5 linked regions of the Rattus norvegicus genome follow. The protein of the gene in region 2 purifies or fractionates together with the protein of the main gene of each other region. This does not show direct contact. Links are inferred from orthologs where the notes say so. Each region holds a gene or a part of one and is shown on either strand. Other genes may lie near its edges. The genes, in order: Saal1, Tmem43, Endod1, Bzw2 and Cul4b.

The links.
Region 1: the proteins of Tmem43 (region 2) and Saal1 purify together in Homo sapiens (affinity purification with mass spectrometry; 3 studies listed by BioGRID and IntAct, with this or other methods). This does not show direct contact. The link is inferred for Rattus norvegicus from reciprocal best matches to the Homo sapiens genes TMEM43 and SAAL1.
Region 3: the proteins of Tmem43 (region 2) and Endod1 purify together in Homo sapiens (affinity purification with mass spectrometry; 3 studies listed by BioGRID and IntAct, with this or other methods). This does not show direct contact. The link is inferred for Rattus norvegicus from reciprocal best matches to the Homo sapiens genes TMEM43 and ENDOD1.
Region 4: the proteins of Tmem43 (region 2) and Bzw2 purify together in Homo sapiens (affinity purification with mass spectrometry; 3 studies listed by BioGRID and IntAct, counting the BioPlex papers as one, with this or other methods). This does not show direct contact. The link is inferred for Rattus norvegicus from reciprocal best matches to the Homo sapiens genes TMEM43 and BZW2.
Region 5: the proteins of Tmem43 (region 2) and Cul4b purify together in Homo sapiens (affinity purification with mass spectrometry; 3 studies listed by BioGRID and IntAct, counting the BioPlex papers as one, with this or other methods). This does not show direct contact. The link is inferred for Rattus norvegicus from reciprocal best matches to the Homo sapiens genes TMEM43 and CUL4B.

What each region holds. Positions count from the first base shown.
Region 1 is NC_086019.1:106,340,323-106,343,837, forward strand, and holds part of Saal1 (protein SAAL1), read right to left. Parts: intron 2,775-3,515; coding exon 2,692-2,774; intron 2,604-2,691; coding exon 2,415-2,603; intron 1-2,414. UniProt on the Homo sapiens protein: Plays a role in promoting the proliferation of synovial fibroblasts in response to pro-inflammatory stimuli.
Region 2 is NC_086022.1:125,533,545-125,537,643, reverse strand, and holds the start of Tmem43 (transmembrane protein 43), read right to left. Parts: upstream 2,801-4,099; 5' UTR 2,716-2,800; coding exon 2,704-2,715; intron 1-2,703. Other genes in the region: Chchd4 (mitochondrial intermembrane space import and assembly protein 40), read left to right, coding at 3,256-3,277. UniProt on the Homo sapiens protein: May have an important role in maintaining nuclear envelope structure by organizing protein complexes at the inner nuclear membrane. Required for retaining emerin at the inner nuclear membrane.
Region 3 is NC_086026.1:19,517,201-19,521,255, reverse strand, and holds the start of Endod1 (endonuclease domain-containing 1 protein precursor), read left to right. Parts: upstream 1-1,248; 5' UTR 1,249-1,438; coding exon 1,439-1,738; intron 1,739-4,055. UniProt on the Homo sapiens protein: May act as a DNase and a RNase. Plays a role in the modulation of innate immune signaling through the cGAS-STING pathway by interacting with RNF26.
Region 4 is NC_086024.1:58,567,372-58,570,886, forward strand, and holds part of Bzw2 (eIF5-mimic protein 1), read right to left. Parts: coding exon 3,354-3,515; intron 922-3,353; coding exon 775-921; intron 1-774. UniProt on the Homo sapiens protein: Translation initiation regulator which represses non-AUG initiated translation and repeat-associated non-AUG (RAN) initiated translation by acting as a competitive inhibitor of eukaryotic translation initiation factor 5 (EIF5) function.
Region 5 is NC_086039.1:122,164,785-122,168,299, reverse strand, and holds part of Cul4b (cullin-4B), read left to right. Parts: intron 1-173; coding exon 174-366; intron 367-1,383; coding exon 1,384-1,488; intron 1,489-2,086; coding exon 2,087-2,197; intron 2,198-2,943; coding exon 2,944-3,029; intron 3,030-3,515.

The sequences.
Region 1 (3,515 bases), on a different chromosome or scaffold from region 2:
TAAAGCCAGTCATCACACACATACACACAGACAGACAGACAGGCAGACAGGCAGACAGACAGATGCACACACGCACGCACGCACGCACGCATGCACAGAAACCACCACTCTTCCTATCCCTAAAGTGACCATCTGGTAGTATCCTCCCTCACTGCTACTGTTCCTGCCTTGATCAAAGCTAGAGCCTTGCTTGTTCTGATGCCACACAGCCTGCCCCCCTTCTCCCTTTTTACTCATGACTCCCTACGCTTACCAGCCCATGGGCATCACAATCAGCCACATCTAGTCAACCTGAGCCTTCCATGGCTCCCTGCCTCACCCACGGCCGAGGTCCTGCCCTGCACTCTACTCCCCAGCAGCTGCACTACTTCTCTTCACTCAGAGGCCACCCTAGCCGTATGGAGACTCCAACACACAGTACACAGTGCCCTTAGTCTCCATGTGCAGACTCCTCCTGAGCTTCCACATGACGACCTCCACCAGCTCCCCCAGGCTGTTCAGTGTCACTTGTCAACAAGTTTCAGACCCTCAAACAGGACTGAGCTGCCTACCTTACCTACCAAAGCAGACTGGGCCTCCGGGTTCTCCCAGAATCTCTCAGTCCCTCCCTGGCACACCCCGCCCCCAACCTTGAACTCTCTAGTCCAGGAGCTGGGCTGCCCTTCCCCCAGAGGCTCCTCCCTGTATAATCCAGACACTTTGGTCCCCTTTTCTGTCTCTGTTCTCACCCTGCATGCACACCCTTTCTCTCTTTCTCTTCCCCCTCCCACCACCTAACTCTCCCCCCATGGTGACTTCCCTGGCCTTGGTCTTTGGGGCCAGTGAACTCGTCTGAGAGCATCTTCCCAATACACCAACATTTAATATACTCTAACCTGGCTTTTCACTGGATTTCACTGGCAGAGAAATAACTTACTAATAACCCCTCCTTAAATATAAACAGTGCTTACTTGTTGAAAAATATATATATTAAAACAGGAAAATGTCAAAACATCCTCGAATGGAAAAAACAAGCACTTTATGCCCAGTAACACTAAAGGGTGAAGCTCTTGAGACATTACCTACAGAGTCAGAAGAAGACGAGAGTTTCCCACCAGGTATTTAAAACACCAGAGACACTAGGCAACACACTTAGATAAGAAAAAGAAGTCAGACAAAAAAATATGACAAAGTACGTGTAACTTCAGATAAAGTTGAGGATTATCGTGGAACCTATTACTAAAAACTGTAAGACAAAGGCTGGAGAGATGACTCAGTGGTTAAGAGCATTGACTGCTCTTCCATAGGACCCTGGTTCAAATCCCAGCTCCCCTATGATGGCTCATAAGCCTTTCCCAGGGGATCCAACACTTTCTTCTGGCTTCCATAGACACGAGGCAGCTGGTGCACACACACACACATACATACAAACATACATACACACACACACACACACACACACACACACACACACACACACATGTATGCAGACAAAACACCTATACACATTAGACATACATACAGACAGGCAGGCAGGCAGGCAGGCAGATAGAATTCAAGAGCAACAAGACAGGGAATGGATACAGCTCAGTGACAGGATGTCCACCTACGTATGCAAGGCCATGGGTCGAACCCTAAGCACAGCAAAGTCAAACTACTGGCAAGTCAGTAAGGGTGCTAGAATCAAAATTAATATACAAATCAACAGCTTCATAAAGCCCAACAATAGTGAGAAGAAAGTATGTGACAGAGAACAGCTATCCAAAGATAAAATGTCTGGGAATAAACCTAACACAAATATTACGAGGTCTGTAGACTGAGCACAGAACGGCTTCTGAGACGGGCAGGCCTACACAGTGCACTCCCTCCTCGACACAGCCCATGCTCAACGCAGCCCCACTTAAAGATCAGCAAGCACTTGGGGCTCTGCACTAAACAAGTCAAAGCTGCCCACGCCGTCAAAAACAGAGACATCAGACTGAAGAGACACGGTCCTTACTAGATGCCCTAAAGCGGTCCTTACTAGATGCCCTAAAGCCCTGTGGCGGCTGATCTGTGAGCTCAGCAGTGCAATTAATAAAATGCAGAGGACATTAGGATGTATTCATGGTAAAGCAAGGGGTACCTGTGGATTGACCACGCCATTTGGTGCTGCTTTCTTTTCGGTGCTGGGGACTGAACAAGGATTGCGCTCATGCTAAGCAAGCACCCCATTAGAGCTGCACCCCATTGGAGCTGCACCCCACACCTCTCCTCAATGCCTTTTATAAACATTCCCATATGTTTTGTATCTAATATTTTATGTGACTAGGGTCCTGAATAATGATACTTTCTTTCTGAGGAGAAAAGGTGAGAGAGAAACCCAGCGACAGCGCATGCCGCCTGGCCCTGGCGATCTGGTGGGCACCAGTCCAGCGTGGTGACACCTCACTTGCCTTCCTCTATCTTCAGGTGCTCCTGTTCGGCCCGTGAGGCACTGATGGCAGACAGCACTGAGAAGACAGAGGCTAGCACTGTCTTCTGCTCCTGCAGGATGACGGGCGGGTCATCGGGCTGGCAGAATTCGTGGCACACCAGGTCAAAAAGCAAACTCCATGTGTCTTTCCCAGTATCAGGACACTGCACTTAAGAAACGTTTTTAAAAAGTAGTCATTTTAAAGCTAATGAACACTTAAATGAGCAACTTCAGTGAGCGCCAAGAAACGGCCTTACCGATTGCTTGAACCCCATCATCCACCGTGGTGAGCAGCTGTAGGACGTGCATATAAACATCCAGCCCTTCCAGGTTTTCAGAACTGAGCGGACAGAAACAGCAAAAGCACTCGTAACTTCACTGGCTCAGTCATTCCCTCTCTCAGCAGGTGTGGAACAGACAACCATACGGACTCCGCTCACTAGCACCTCCATTGGAATGGGGAAAACAGAAAAAAAGGGGGTGTGTCTGTGTCTGTCTGTGAGTGTGGAAGTGTGTGAGGTGTATGTGTGAACAAGTGTGCGTGCGTGTGAGTATATGTGTGTAAACATGTATGTAAGTATGTGTGTGCATGTATGTCTGTGAATAAGTGTGTGAATGTATATGGGACGTGTGTAAATGAGGGTGAGTGTGTGAGAGTGAGTCTGAGTGTGTGAGTGTGTGTGAATGCACACGTGTGTGATACTGAGATTTTTTCATGGGAGGGATATGAGGCCTACGGCACCAGGCACCATGGTACTGAGGCTCTCTTCTGCTCAACACTTTGTATTCTTAGAACTCAAAATGCTGCTTCTTATATTTTTGGTTGTGAGCCTAGCCTTTAACGGCTGAGCCATCTCTCCAGCCCAAAATGCTGCTTCTTCAACCAGACAATTAAGTGAAGAGGGGGGCAAGTACTGGTTTAGCTGTGCTGGTGCAAATATCTATCATTTGGGGCACTTACTGCCAGGGGCCAGGAAGGCAGAGGGTATTAAGATGCTACCCCCACCTTCACAAGGAATACTGGTCTGGGAGGAAAGTAGGTAATTAAAGGGGTAATGACCTAAAAATGAAATGACTTTAA
Region 2 (4,099 bases):
CACCTGTGGGAGTTGTGGCTAATAGGAACATTATCAGATTTCTCCACAATTGAAACTGGAGCTGCCACCCAGACTGTGGGTGTGGATGGAAGTCACAGAGATACAAAGTGGTCACCTGGCAGGCACCTCAGAGAGCCAGGCCCCTTCCTGCCCAGGATCAGAGGATGGATTTGAGACAGAATCCTTGAGCAGAGCTAATGCTACTTCTGGCGGCTGTCCACTGCTGGCTCAGGCCTGCTGAGGACACCCACGGTATCCAGAACAATACCATATAAAACTCAGTGGAGACAACCACTGCAGACAAGAAGGCAGCCATAAGCCAGCAGATGCCCAAAATGACATACTCATTTGTTACAGGCCAATCATGGGCTGGCTCAAGGGTAAAGAGGCTACCACTACCCATTTCACAGAAGAAGAAATCGAGACCCACTGTTTAGGTTATCAGCCTGGTTCAACACCTTGTAAGTAGTAAGTGGGTGTGCAATGCAGGGAGGGCCCTCTACCCTAGACTGTCTTCTTCATCGATTAGCGCAATTCAGGCTGAACAACGGAAAAGGAGACGTGTATCCCTGCTGGCTCCCCTTAAGGCCAGGAAGGAAGGGAAACCAGGAAGACGTCCCTCCAGCTGGGAGAGAGGTGAGGTGGGAAATAGCACCTGTGTGTATATGTGTGTGTATATGTATACACACTTATGTATCCACAGTAACGTGTTCCACTTCCAGCACACCGGGCTCAGAATCAACAAGCAATGAAGCAATGGGTGGGAACACACTGGGCCTGGAAATTGGCACACCAGGATTGGAGTCCCAGCTGTTGCTATATGAGCCTGGCAACATGTGCTCCGCCTTTCTGGTTCTGGTTCCTCACTTGCTGGTGACAACACCTACCTGACAGGAAAGTTGTTATACTGAATTCAGGGGCTTTTGTTCCACTCACTGTCTTAAGATTCCCTTGCTTACCCTGCCTGGTGACTCAGCTACTGCGTGGATGCTCTGGTACCGTCCCTAGGCACGGCAGAGCCACTGTCATATTGAAATCGGAATAGCTTAGATTGCCCAAATGAAGCCCTCACATTATGCGGCACGTTCCCTGGAAGAGTAGAAGAGGATCTTTATAACCTTGCCTGGGATTCTGGCTTCTCACTTCCCTCTGTGTCCCACCCCCAGCAGTGTGCAGAGGATACAGGAGGCAGAGGGCTAGTGGAAGGGAGGGCACACACCTCCATCTAGGCAGCCTTCCAGAGGCAGTCACCCATGCCGGCGTGGGACTCTGGTAATACCCACGCTCCTGTGAGTAAGCCCAAGATGGTTCACCAAGATGGAGTTGGTGCAATGGCTCCTTTGGTCTATGATTATCCTGACTGACATGGATGAATGTTCATGTCTTCCCGGGAAAGTCACGTAACAATGGATGGACAAAGGCACGCTTACTGAAGATATCCATTGTGTCTGTTTGTTGGTGTGAGAGTCAGACCCAAGATGGCTTCTGCCCACCAGGGCTGTGTGTACTAGCCTCTAAGTGTGACTTTTTCAAGGATTAAGCACCTCCCATGTACCAGGCTCTGTGCCCAGCAACCTCCCTCAAATTTCACAGTAACTGATCCCATGAGGGTAAACCCAGAGGCTTGTTAAGAGTGGAAGAATCTGGATTTGCCTCCAAAGCCTGCCCTCATCTGCACCTTCCCAGGCTGATGATATAGCAAGCCAAACTGTCTAAAAGCCCCCAAGCAGGTGTCTTCTGCTGGGGAACTGTAAAATTTGACGTTGAACATATGGATCCGAAGGGGTCCGCCCACTCTTGCCCGGCTGGCCTGCTGGTTGCCTTCTCCTCTGGTTCCAGTGCAGCATTCCTAACCTTTGGTTCTCCTCCCCTTCTAGGGCCGGACAATGTGCCAAGCAGATATTGCTTGGACAGTGGGTGAAACAAACTCTGATCTCCCAGGAGGTGTAGGAGGCCAAGAAGTTTGAGGACAGAGGAGGGGCCTGGGAAGAGGGTGTAACAGGCCCAAGGATGGCTGCAATGACACTCTACCAAGGAGGGAGAGAGGGTGTGACTGGGGCTGGCAGTGCTCCTGAGCTGGTTCCAGAGGCGCTTTCACCAGAGGCATTTATGAGTCACCAGCTTCTTCCACACCCAGTCCCCTAGTAGGTGGTGTTGCTCCGTTTGTTGAATGAATGTTAGGATTCACTAGGAAAGTTAAGGACTAGTTGCAGTAGGAAATGGCCAGAGGTCTGGGGCAACTATCTTCAGTCAGGGTCTCTACCCAAATCAGTGCACCAGGAACCGAGCAGTAGAGAAAAGCCTCCCTTTCTAGGTCATCCAGCCAGGCTTGTCCTGCTACATCACAGCCTAGGAGCACACACCCCCTAGGGAGCGGAGACCAAAGCAGCCTTTGTTGGACAGCTCCACCTGGGCAGGAGCACCTTAATCTGCTCACCGACAGACACTTTTCTCGTGGTCCTTCAGTTCCACAAGTTTTATATCCCCAGGGGCCCAGAAAGAAACTAGGAGTGGAAGAAGCAGCCGTGCACGAGCGGATTCGACTAAGAGCTGAGTCCCACAAACGTGCAGCCCGAGATAGACGAGTTCAGGGAGCTGAGGGCAGCCGCACCCACTGGGGTCGCAAGGCCGAAGGACCCAGCGCAAACCTAGGGGAAAAACGACCCAGATAATGGTGTAACCCGGGGATCAGGAAGCACTCACGTTCGCTGCCATGGTGGGCCTGGTTCGCTGCCGCCGTCTTGCTTTGTTCCTCTAGGAATTGGGATGACGACCGGAACGCAGAATACGGTGTCCTGTCTGCCACAGAGCTGCAAGACTCCTCGAGGAATCCAGGACCTGGCGGGACTCGGGATAAGAGTTACGGCCCCGCCTACGTCTCAAGTTGTCTGCGCATGCGCGTCTCAAGGATTGCTGGGAAATGTAGTCGGACGTCGGACGCTTTCACCACAAAATTACAAAACACAATATTTCACTGGTGCGCGTGCGCGCTGCAAGATTTCTGGGAAATGTAGTATAGCTTTAGTTGGCGGGCGCAAAGGCTGCTGGTCAATGTATTTTCGACTGAGAAGCGGTGCTGGCGCTTAGGACGAGCGGAGGCAGGCGCGCGGCGGGCAGGCCTGGAGGGGGCGGGTCCGTGTGGGCCTCAGTGCCACCCGCCAGGCCTGAGAAGAGGCGAGGGAGGTCACAACGAGAAGGTGTAGCCGCTGTAGCCGCGCCTGCTCCCTCTGCGAGCTGGGAACGTTGAGAACAACCATGTCCTACTGCCGGCAGGAAGGTGAGTCGGGCGCTGCCATGGAGACCGGCCGGCGCGGGCCTGCGAGAGACACGCGGTCTAGTGGTTTCCATCGAGCGGCTGCGGGCCCTTTAGTGGGCCTCACGCGGCGGTTTCCAAATGAGAAAGGCAGAGGCTCAGTGAGGAACGAGGCTGGTCCAAGGTCAAGGTGAAGCCCGAACTCGGGCCTCGGAGGCCCTCACGTGGGCCCTGCTAGTGTGGAGTATGTTGTATCTGGCTGGAAATCGGGGACTGTTAGGAATCAGCCCCCGTCGCTCCTCGCACTCACCACATGTTTCTCTCCCGCTTAGGCTTTTTAAATATCCCGGAAAATTACCACTTGGGCTTGAGTGGGTGTGCTGAAGTGCCACTAGCAGGAGCACTTATTGAGCTCCTCCTGTTTACTAGGCACTCTTTTAAATTTCACGTAGCGGTCTTTATATATCGGGTTCTTTTACTATCCACATTTTTATCAAACGGTAAATTAGGACAGGTTACTCGATCCAAGAGCCCACATCAGGTCATGAAACTGGAGCCCTATACGAAAGGACTTGCTTTCTTCCGTCATTTCTAGCCACGTTGAGGATCACTCACTTCCTCTACCTATTACCCATAGACAGGAGCCCAGAAGAATCCAGACCAGTCTGCTCTAAGGCCTCCCAGCACTAACTGGCTCCTTATATTTGAGCTGCCAAACCCTCCAGGCCCTAGTTTCCACTCTTGTAAATTGAGAGACCAGGCATCATTTACTCTGGTATTCATGAAGCACGTGCCCAAGGCAGGAAAGAGTTGGGAGGACTCTTGAGAATACAAAGCTACAGAAAG
Region 3 (4,055 bases), on a different chromosome or scaffold from region 2:
GCCATCTCCCGGACTGGTTTTGCTTTTCATTCCTTCTGGGCCACTCCAGTACAGCAGTCTTATTAACTCAGGAATATGATAGAAAGACCTAAACGCTCAGTGATATATTTTATTGGTTTGTTCGCGTGTTTGTTTTTTGAGACAGGGTCTTGATGTGTAGTCCAGGCTGGCCTTAAACTCTGTTTTCCTGGCCCCTACTCTCTAGTGCTGGAATTACAAGCCCGAATCACCCTTCTTGGTTCCTTAACCTAGTGCATATTATTGTTTCCAAACTTCAGTTTATAATCTGTTAGTGGCTTAGAGAAAACATTTAAGTCACCCACTGTCTTTTTTGTTTTGTTTTGTTTTTAAATTAATTCATTCATTCATTTTGAGACAAGGTCCAAGAAGCCCATCCTGCCTTTGAGCTCCTGGTCCCTCTGCCTCTACCTCCCTATTACAGGAATAACATGCACACACACCGCGGCTAGTTATATACTGTCCAGGGGGCGGGGCCCGGGACTTCCTACAAACTAGACAGGCGCTCTGCTCACTCCAGGCAGATTCTTCTGCTCTTTATCCCACCAGCCTGCCTCAAGTTCCTCCCTCATTCTTTTCCTTTCTGGGAAAGTCTAGCTTGGGGCTGCCTTCCTCCGGTGTCAGTTCAGAGACCATCTTTTCGGGCCAACTTCCTTACACTGTATCCTAAAGTCCCGCAGGAGTCACGCAATGGACTAACAGTGGGTTTTCAATGACTCCGTGAACTGCATTTTTAAAGATTAATAATAAGCTCACCAAACAGAGATCCTGCTCTTGTTGGTTATCACTATACTAACTCGAGGGGGGGGGGGTGTACGGAGGCATGTGAGCAGTGGGATGAATAAAGGGTGTTGGCTGTTTGGTTCCCTTCTGAGTTTCGGTTTGATGTCTAACCCTCATACCAAGAAAACCACAGCGGGCCTGTGCCGTCTGCCTAAGAACTTCCTTTAGCAAGTGTTTGTTTGTTTGTTTATATTTGAAGCAGGGTCTTACAGAGCCCTGTTTAGCTATGAATTACAGAGCCCTCTGCCTCTACCAACATGACTGGCTTTAACCGGGTTTCTTAACTGGGGTCTGATGCGGAAGGGCAGGCACTGTCTACTCTGCGGGCATCCCCCGCCTCCATGCATCCCGGAGGAACCTGGTGCACGCAAGGTCCGGCTTCTCCGCGCCAGCCCTGGGGACCGTCCCTTGGGCTAAGTCAGACCAGCGCAGAGCGGGAGGTCTGGCACACAGCAGCGCCGCGGCAGGTGTCCGGTCTCCAGGGGCGGTGCAGCCGCAGAAAGCTGGGGCCCAGCACTGCAGCCATCTTCGGGGTGGAGGCGGAGAAGGGGCGCGGCCTTGGCCCGGAGCCGCCCTGCCGGAGCGGCGCACCGCGGACTTCCCTGCTCCCGCGGCGCCCGGCCGCGCAGAGGCCGCCATGGGCTGTGCGCGCTGGCTGGCGCTGGGCGGCCTCCTGGCCCTGCTGGGGCTGCTGCAGGCCCGGCTGCTGCTCCCGCAGCAAGCGGGCTTCGGCGAGTGCGACCGCTTTTTCTACGCGGGGACCCCGCCCGCCGGGCTGGCGACCGAGGCGCACGTGAGGATCTGTCAACGCTTCGCGGGCTCCGAGCGCTTCGCCACTCTGTACAGCCCGGGCCACCGCATCCCCGTGTTCTCCGCGTTTCGCGCTGCGCGTCCCGCGTCCCGCAGCGCCGAGCAGCGCGGGCTGCTGGAGCCGCAGGTAAGCAGGGCTCGGTCGGAGGGGAATCTGAGGTTCAGACCCACCCCGGCGACTCCCCACCCCCCAATTGCAGCCTGCCTTGTCCTGGTGGGAGTCTCCACTTAAGCCGCAGGGGCGGGAGGTTCCCTGGAGAGATGGCCCTCCCTCCTCTTGGGCGCAGACATCTGCAGTGTCTGGTTGGTTTCCTGGGTAGTAGAGAACACGGACTGGGAGACAGCCCTTGGTGGCCTGAAACCAGGCATATCCGCGGGAAGCACAGCTTCTCAAGCCCGCCTCCTGTCCCCCTAGCAACATTCGGGGCGGTGGGCAAGTTCACCCCATTTTACTGGGAGCAGCTCCAGGCAAGGAGGGTGGAGGAGCTTGCAGAAGACCACCCAGCTGGTGAGATGAGCGAGCCGGTCTTGAGGCTAAAAAATCACTGCCCTTTCTGCTAAGGGGAAAGCTTCTGTTAGTGCATGGACTTTGAGAAGTTCAGTGGGACTTTGTTCACGCAGAAAGGACAAACCAGTTTTTCCTGACTCTTCGTTATCTACAGATTATCAAACCATTGCAATCAAGTCACCTTTGACAGACAGTGTTGGGTCTGTCTGGTGGCAGGGGTCAAACAAGGAGAAAGGCCATGCAGAACCTGCTGACTGATTCCCCTGCAGGTCTCCTCCGTAAGACACCCTGACCTGCCCCTCTTTGACTTCTCCCCAGCCTTCTGGCCCTGTGTGTCCCATAGCTTTTGGTTCGTGCGGATCACCAATACAAACCTTCTGGCTTTCAGGTGTCTCCGCCTGAAAGTGTGGGTTGTACCTGCACCACACTTCCAGCTGCCACTGGCCAGGCAGGTTTCAGGCGATCTGCACCAATATTACCTTCTTACATCCTTCCATGTCCAGCGGCCTGCTGTAGGGACCTTTGAGCTCAGGCCAGGAGAAAGAGGTATTAGCTTGTGCGTATAGGGAAGGCACATGTTAATCTAAACTTACTTTCCCCCAGTGTACCCTTAGAAGTGCTTTATGTTTCCCCAGTCTGGGAAGAAAGCAGCAGACAAACGCTCACAGGGTGAAGTCCTGAGAATTCACCTGCACCTCCCTTCGTGCATTCAAATCCTGCTTCCTCTAGACTAGCTGTTGACCCTGTTGACGGGTGAGGGCTCCAGGAGTACATAGTGGGGTTAAATGAGTTCCTATATGTGAAGTTCTCCAGAGACCCATAAGTACTAGCTGCCGTTGTGTTGCTCACAAAACACATAATTTAACCTAGGTAAACAGATTCCTGTTAGAGTCTGTTTGTAAGGTGATAGGGAAAAACTTAGGGTCTGGTTGGCATTTGTGCCAAGTGTGGAAGGATTAGCAGGGTTCAGAAGGGAGAAGAAGACGGAATTTCAGACTGGTTTTGTATGAAATGGGCGTGGCAGATGCTTGGATCACTGCTTGGGAATGAGTGGGGCAGGTAGACTAATACTGGATTATGAGTCCCAAGGAATCAGAATAAAGGGGAATTGTGGGAGGGAGGAGCAGGTGAAGGAGTCATCCGAGGAGACTTAGGCAGAGCCTTGGACCTGTTATTAAGAGAGTCATAAGGAACAGGCTTTGACAGAGAGGCTGTGGAGACCCTGGGTGGAGAAATGGGCGCGCCTGAGAGGTCATCGTGGAATGCTGGGTAGTTCTGAAGGGCAGCTGGAGCTGAAGACGGTCTGACTTCTGGAAAGTGCTCTGTGGCTCAGAGGGCAGAGTGTTTGCCTGGCATGCACCTAGCCATACTTATTTTATCCCCAATACTGCATAAAATGAGGGTCACCCATATAGTCCCAGCACTGAGGTCAGAATGTCAAGGTCATCCTCAGGCCGTATAGTGAGTTCTAGCCCAGCCTGGGCTATATGAGACTGTCTTAGAATAAACAAGTTCAGCGCCCCACACCCCTGGAGAGTTGCCAAGGCTGAGAACTGAGGCTGCTTTTCCCTACAAGATGGTGGGCTCCACAGTACCCTACCTTGAATTCAGCAAGGGGATCCAAAGAACACTGAAGGGAAAGGAGGGGGAGGAGATGGACGGAGAAGGGAGGGGAGGGGAGGAGGCAGAAATGCAGGTGACCTCTGGAGCCATTGCAGCAGGCTGCCCCTGCTTCTGTTTCAACACCAGCCTCTCAGCCTCTCAGCCAGTGCCTGAACTGTAAGTCCTGCTCGGGGCTCCGTGTGCTTCTAGATGCTTCCAAGGAGTTTCTATTGGCAAGTCGTCGGTGCCCAAATCATCTTATGAAGTCAGTGTGATCAAGAGGTCCAGGAGGAAGACAGGGAGTTCAGTGCTGGACAATGAGTCAGGCAGGATG
Region 4 (3,515 bases), on a different chromosome or scaffold from region 2:
GGGATTCTCCTTCCCTGTGTCCCAGGCACTGCAAGCCACCTGAAGGATCTCTTTCTGTTATTCCTGAATCCCAGATATCTTTGACTTTCCGTTAGTGCTAGAGAGCTTTTTCTAAGACCTACTCACTTCCCTTTCATAGAGACGTTCCCATCTGGAACAGTGTTTCTTCCCCCGACCTCAGAGACACTGAAAGTCGTCTATGACCACTTAGGTCACATTCTGACCTCGACTTCCTAACTGAATTCTCCATGCAAGATCTCCTACTGTTTCTGCTCGCCATAGTGCCAGGGCATGCTGTACCTCAAAATAGTCAACCGACACAGTCAATTTACTTCTCTAATCCTAATGTCTATTCATAGCTTACTTAAATCAAAGATTCTGGCTTCTATTTTTCCCTATGGAACACAGTCGATAATTAGCTCACATTTCTTGTTAACGTATGACGCTACAGGTGACTGTATATTTCCGATGTCTTTTAACGAGAACCCATCTGGAGATGTTTCATGCCTAAACATTTTAGGCAGCGGCAGATTTGAGAAGGAAAATGACGTAGCCAGGGTTGGCTCTGGGGAAATGGGCTCTGCATTCACTAGCTCTTTCGTTTCTCGTTATTTGTGACAGGGTCTCACGTAGCCAGGACGGGCCTAGAACTGATCTGCATGACGCCACCTTCTCAGTGCTTGGGGTTTCAGGGATGCGCTGGCTCTACCCGCCACACCGTCAGGAGGTGCAGCTGACCCGCCTCAGAGCTGGTTCCCTTCAAACGCCCGTTACCTTCAGGTGCTTAAGAGCCTGCTCAGCAACCAGCTCCTCCTTCTTGTTCCATTCCACAGCGTTCATGACGCAGGTCCACAGCAGCCCGATCACAGCTGTCTCCGGAAGGTCGTTCCTTTTCATTTCCTCTTTGACGTAAAGCACCACCTACGTTTCATGGAAAAGAGTCGGAGAGGAACAACTGAGCAACCATAAATGCTGGGGCTATTCCTCTCCACGGCCTGGGGCAGGGTGGAAAATCCTGGGTTCAGCCTCTCCATCCCTAATACACATCCTCCAATGATAAATGAGAAGTATAGAAGCTGCTAGATGACATAGAGTAAGAGAAAGGCTTAGCTTCCTGGACAACCATTCTATGGGGGAACCCTTTGGGTCCAGCAGAGTAGGGCATTTGAGTCAGGCTGACTTATCATGGGTGCGAAGTAAGCAACAGCTCTGTGAATTTTTCTGTTGCTTAAAATTAAACTTCTTGATGTTTATCCTTTCAGTCCTGCTCTTGAGATGACTCTCCCGCCCCATCCCAGTGAAGAGCCAATAGGTAAAGAACCTGAACGCAAAGGCACCACCTCCCTCCTTCCCCTCCCCAATTTCCAGACAGGGAACCTTGATAAATACACGAGGGTGACCTTGAACTTACTGCTCCTCTCCTCACCACCTAGCTGCTGAGATTAGCTACCATACCTGGTTTATGAGGCACTGACATTGAACTGAAGGCTCCTATGTACCAAACAAGCCACACCCCAAATCCTGTCACTTTCTTTCCTCGATTCACGTCAATCCAGTGTATTCTGCAATTAGCAATACATCCATTCCCCTCCCTTATGGTGAGAAGATAACTGTTTTCTTTACTCCTGAACTTCAGAAACAGAGGACTGGCTGGGTACCTTTAGAGAGAAGTGGCAACCCGAGACTCAGACCTGCCTGGGACCCTCGAATGACTAGGAACAGGGACTGCTGCATCTAAAACCATCACTGTGGTTTTCCTTGTAGCTCACACCTCACTCTGTGCGTATGAGAGTCAAGCACAGCTCTAGTTTGAAGAAAATGGCTGCAGCTGCTGCAGGCTGCAGGCTGAAAGAGCGTCTGTTGTTCTAACACCTCCACCTGGTGGACAGTTAGCAGTTTGAGCTTCTCCAGCCCCCACTCTCTCGAGAAGCCAGGTAAGGCTCAGAGTACAGCAGATACAGCTGAAACTCAAGGATTTGGGAGTAGGAGGAGGACTCCCCAGCTAAAGTTTGAGTTTATCATGTAGAAAGGGTGGTTTTTTCTTTCAGCTTAAACAATGCCTTTCCAGATGTGTAGACAGTCATTGCTCTCTAACACATGGCAAACCATGCTTAAGCACGGTTCCAAAACCGGTAGCCTTTACAGAGCTCTTATAATGGGGTACATAAGATGCTGGCCCAACTGATCTTTCCCTGTGTGGATTTGTGTTTTCTTCTTCAAAGACGCTGGAATATAGCCCAATGGTGGGGCTCTTGCTGTGTATGCACACGGTCCTGGGTTTGACTCCAGGGGCCATGAAAATAGAAACAAGCAACACATTCATACCCAGTGATGCAAAATGCCCACGCCTTGACACTAAGTGCTAGTTAATGCTCGCACCAGGTAGAGAATCGACAGTTCAACGGAAATCATCACTGTGTGGGAGATTTTACCAGCAGAGCGCCAAGTCTGCGTGTTGACAAAACCGTTTGATAATCATGGCAGCCTGGTGAAAATGAGCAGTGTGAGCCAAAATAACGTCAGTTTCTAGAATACTCCCAAATATAACAAAATAGGATTTTGAGTCAGTACTTTGAGCCAACTTCAATGTTAGGAGCAAGGGAATAGTGTATGGTAACACATAGGAGGGACGGGAAGGCGAGGGAGGGGAAGGCGGGTTGCCCTGGTGCTGTTCATATTTTGATGCTAATTACTCTTCCCCAAGAGGGGCTGCCTAGGAGAGGTCAGGACCTTCTCCCCATTTTAACTTGTAAAATAAAGGCTAGAGCTGGTGATTAGGCAGGGGAAAGGAAAGGTGGAGTTGGGGAGGGGAGGGGGAAAAGGGATGGTGGAGGAGGAGGAAGAGGAGGAAGAGGAGGAGAAGGAAGAGGAGGAAGAAGAGGAAGAGGAAGAGGAGGAGGGAGGAAGATGGAGCTGAAGCATGAGGCCTGGAGAAACTGCAAGTGATAAGAGATCTCATAGCTGGGGAATAGAGCAGTGCAGTGTTAGATCTGCCCAATCTAGGTGCACAGCTTGTATTCATATTGAGTTGCGTTTTCTTTTCAACGGCTTATTTGGGCTGGGGAATTTACCACAACAGGGGAAGCTTATGTTATATGACCTATATAATTCTACACACGAACGTACGCACACACGCACACCCTCGCTAGCATGCATAGTTTTTTGCATGCGTTGGGGATGTAAACCATGGCCTAGTGAATACTTCTTCAGGTGCTCTATCATTGAATACACCCACAGCCATCAACCATGTTTGTTGAACTGGAGTTCACCGTGGTCTCCTAGCTCCCTGACGGGCTCCATCCTTACCCTGTATCTGTGTGTGTTGTGCAGGGCTTCACTACACGGCCTCTTACCTCCTTGATGGGGCATTCCTGAGACAGTCGCTCTTGCAGCTCCTTCTGCAGTTCCTTCCTGGTGCCCAGTGACTGCTGGACTCGGAGAAAGTCTGACAGCTCCTTCAGTCCTGCGTCAGTGAAGTACTTGGCGAAATGATCCACACTCTGTCTGTTCACTGG
Region 5 (3,515 bases), on a different chromosome or scaffold from region 2:
GTTATTTTTGTTTGTAAGTAAATATTATTTGTTTAGATTTTCCATTTCCTTCAGAGACAACTGTACCTTTTGTGACTGTTAAGTACATGTGCCAACTTTAAATATGACTTGGTGAATATTTTCACTGTAGAAAAAAATCAATTACCATAAAATTACACCATCTCCATTTTCAGGCTTTTGGAAGTACCATTGTTATTAATCCTGAAAAAGATAAAACTATGGTTCAAGAATTATTGGACTTTAAAGATAAAGTTGACCATATAATTGATACCTGCTTTCTGAAAAATGAAAAATTTATCAATGCCATGAAAGAAGCATTTGAAACCTTCATTAATAAAAGACCAAATAAGCCAGCTGAACTGATAGGTATGTTTCATATTCTTTTGTGGTTGTGTAATGTTCTTTTATTGATAAACTCATATTGATAATCATATTGTACCCATTCCTGGTTTGTTTGATGTCGCTTAGCCTGTCAAGCTGAACAGCATCTCAGTCTTCATGTCAAACAGGATATAAACTCTATGTGAGGTAGAACGTAGAACCCTGTTTACTTTTACTGAGTAAGCATGATTCTGTGCTTTGCAAGCCTATAGTGATTGAGACATGGGACAGAGTAATATTGTCTAAAGGTCTCCAGTTATAGCTACAGGAAAAGGGTAGCATGAAATTCCAATGCAAATGAATAAAGTCTAGGATGAAAATAAATCTAATGATACAGGCTTACTGAGTATACAAGTGTGTTGCAGTGTTCTCAAGCAAGGTTCCTACACATGCACTCATTGTTAGGAGTATATGTGCCCTAGAAAACGAGGTCCTCTGAAAGGATGGAGTTTGGTTTGTTTTCTAATTTTATTTAAATTTAAACATTTTATAAATTGTGCCTTCTGCTCTGTTTCTGGTTTATTCAAATAACAAAAGTAATGTTTAAGAATACTGACCCTCTGTGTAAAATAGAAACTTTAGAGAGTACCCGTGTTTTCTGGTGACTTTGACTCCACAAAGGGCAACTTGGAGCCTCCACCACGAGCTGTCTCTACCTCATTTTAAATTTTGCTTTTCTTTCCTTTTTTTTTAAACTGTGAAAGTGAGGGCTTGAACCCAGGGACTCTACCACAGTGCTCTATATGTAGCCCTTCCGTATTATACTAGAAAGTATATTCAGTCTGGAGTCCGATTTAATGTATTTAGGTTGTGGTATTTATTAGCCCTGTGACATTGACAAGTTAACTTGATCTTCCTTTTGTTGTAGGCCATAAAATGCATGTACATATAGCAGAAATACTGAAAGAGAGTTAGTATTTTATAGTCCTGTTTGGGTTTGTGTAGTGGTCAGTACCTTTCAGACACCCATGGTTGCTAAACTACAATTTTTCTCTATTTTAGCTAAGTATGTGGATTCAAAACTTCGTGCAGGCAACAAAGAAGCTACAGATGAAGAGCTTGAGAAAATGTTGGATAAAATAATGATTATATTTAGATTTATCTATGGTAAGTGTTGATTACTGCTTTCATGTTTTTCTTTTAAAACAAAGCACTCTGAGCCAGGCATAGTGATCCACAATCCTGCAATCCACAATTCAGGAGGCTGAAGCACTATTGCTGTGTAGGCCACATAGAATCAGACCAGCTAGGGCAACATAGCAAGGCACTCCTATAGGAACTAAAAAACTCTTATATAACCCGGGGAGACTTTGAGACCTATAGGTTATATTTTACTTATTGCATATTTTGGATCCTTAAGAAGAGTTGAGGAATGTAACTAAATTGCCTGTGTTTTGACCTTTGCACTATTAAGAACCTGGGATTTTACTGCTTGTTTTAATCTCTGAGTTTTGGTGCTAACAGTACCAATGTACTAAAGTTGTTTTTTTTCCAGAAAAATAGTTAATACAGTCTTAATTTTTTATAATAAAAAACTTTTGAAATACCTGGCACAGACATGGACCTCCAGTGTTCCTGAGTTTAATAAACTTGGATAAAATGTATAAAATTAAATAACTTGGCATGTTACAATAAGCTTTTTAAAGCCATTTTCTTACAGCTTTACTTGGCATATCATGAATGTTATCTTTTCTATTTAATACAGGCAAAGATGTTTTTGAGGCCTTCTATAAGAAAGACTTAGCCAAACGCCTATTAGTTGGCAAGAGTGCATCAGTGGATGCTGAAAAATCAATGCTGTCCAAACTGAAACACGGTATGTTTCTCAGTCTTCTTTTTTAATATCAGCTTTTTCTTTTTTTAATATTTGAGGTAAATAATGGCTTAATTATGTTCCTTTCTTTTATATACACATGATGAAAATATAAATTGACAGGATGGGGAGGATGATTCAGAGGGTAAGAGGTCTTTGTGCACAAACATGAGGACATGAGTTTGAATCCATAACACCCTTGTAAAAAATCATATGTATAAGTCCACTAGCTAGGGGTAGGGTAGGAGTAGAGAACAGGAGGATCTTTGGGGATTCCTGGACACCAGACTAGCTCTGGGTTCAAAGATAGACCCTATTTCAAAGGAATAAGGTATACTGTGGTAGAGGAGTACAGCCAATGACCTCTGACTTGGACATGCATATTGTCCATACCTGTACACACTTACCCCAACACACACACACACACACACACACACACACACACACACACACACAAAGTGAGGTATGAGAGTCCTAGCCTCTTGCTGATAGCCACAATTATTGTATTGTTTTAAAGATAAAGAATTATTCTTTTGTTTATTTGTATAAAATTTGCCAACTATCCTATACCTGGATTAAAGAGTTTACCTCTGAATTGCTAGGGCACGCTGAGAGGTAAGACTTTTCATTCTTACAAGTGGATACAGATCATATTTTATGCCCAAGTTGAGTTTTGTATTTTATTTTCTGATTTTAATTTTTGTTTGTTGTACTACCTTGGAATATAAATCTGTAAACCTCTTTAACAGAATGTGGAGCCGCTTTTACCAGCAAGCTTGAAGGCATGTTTAAAGACATGGAGCTTTCTAAAGATATCATGATCCAGTTCAAACAGGTAAAAGTGGGTTAAACTCTTAACTCCCTAAACTTAAGGATACTTATGTCCTTGCGGCAGTTTGTATTGAAGAAGATAAATAGAAACCCATATTTTTTTTACAAACACTTCATGGCAACTTAAATTAACAGTTCAGTATAGGGAAAAGGTCATCAATGAATTTTAAGTATATTTGGCCTACTTCAGGATTAAGTCATAATTAACATCCAGAATAAGACAGAAGCATAAGTAAAATGTATTAGATTAAAGTTAGTATTAGAAGACTTATACTTACACGGTAAGAGCAGGGATTTTCTAATCAGTTGGAGGATTTTTATTTCAGAGCCTGTCATGGGGATAGAGGTGAGGCGATCAAGGATGAGGGTGGTATATGCTGTCTCTGTTGACATTTGGGATGAGAATTGGATCTATAGTTTTGAAGACATAAATAGAAGGTTTTAAAATATTGTAAAAACATAAACAACCAGATGTAGTTTGTGTAACTGC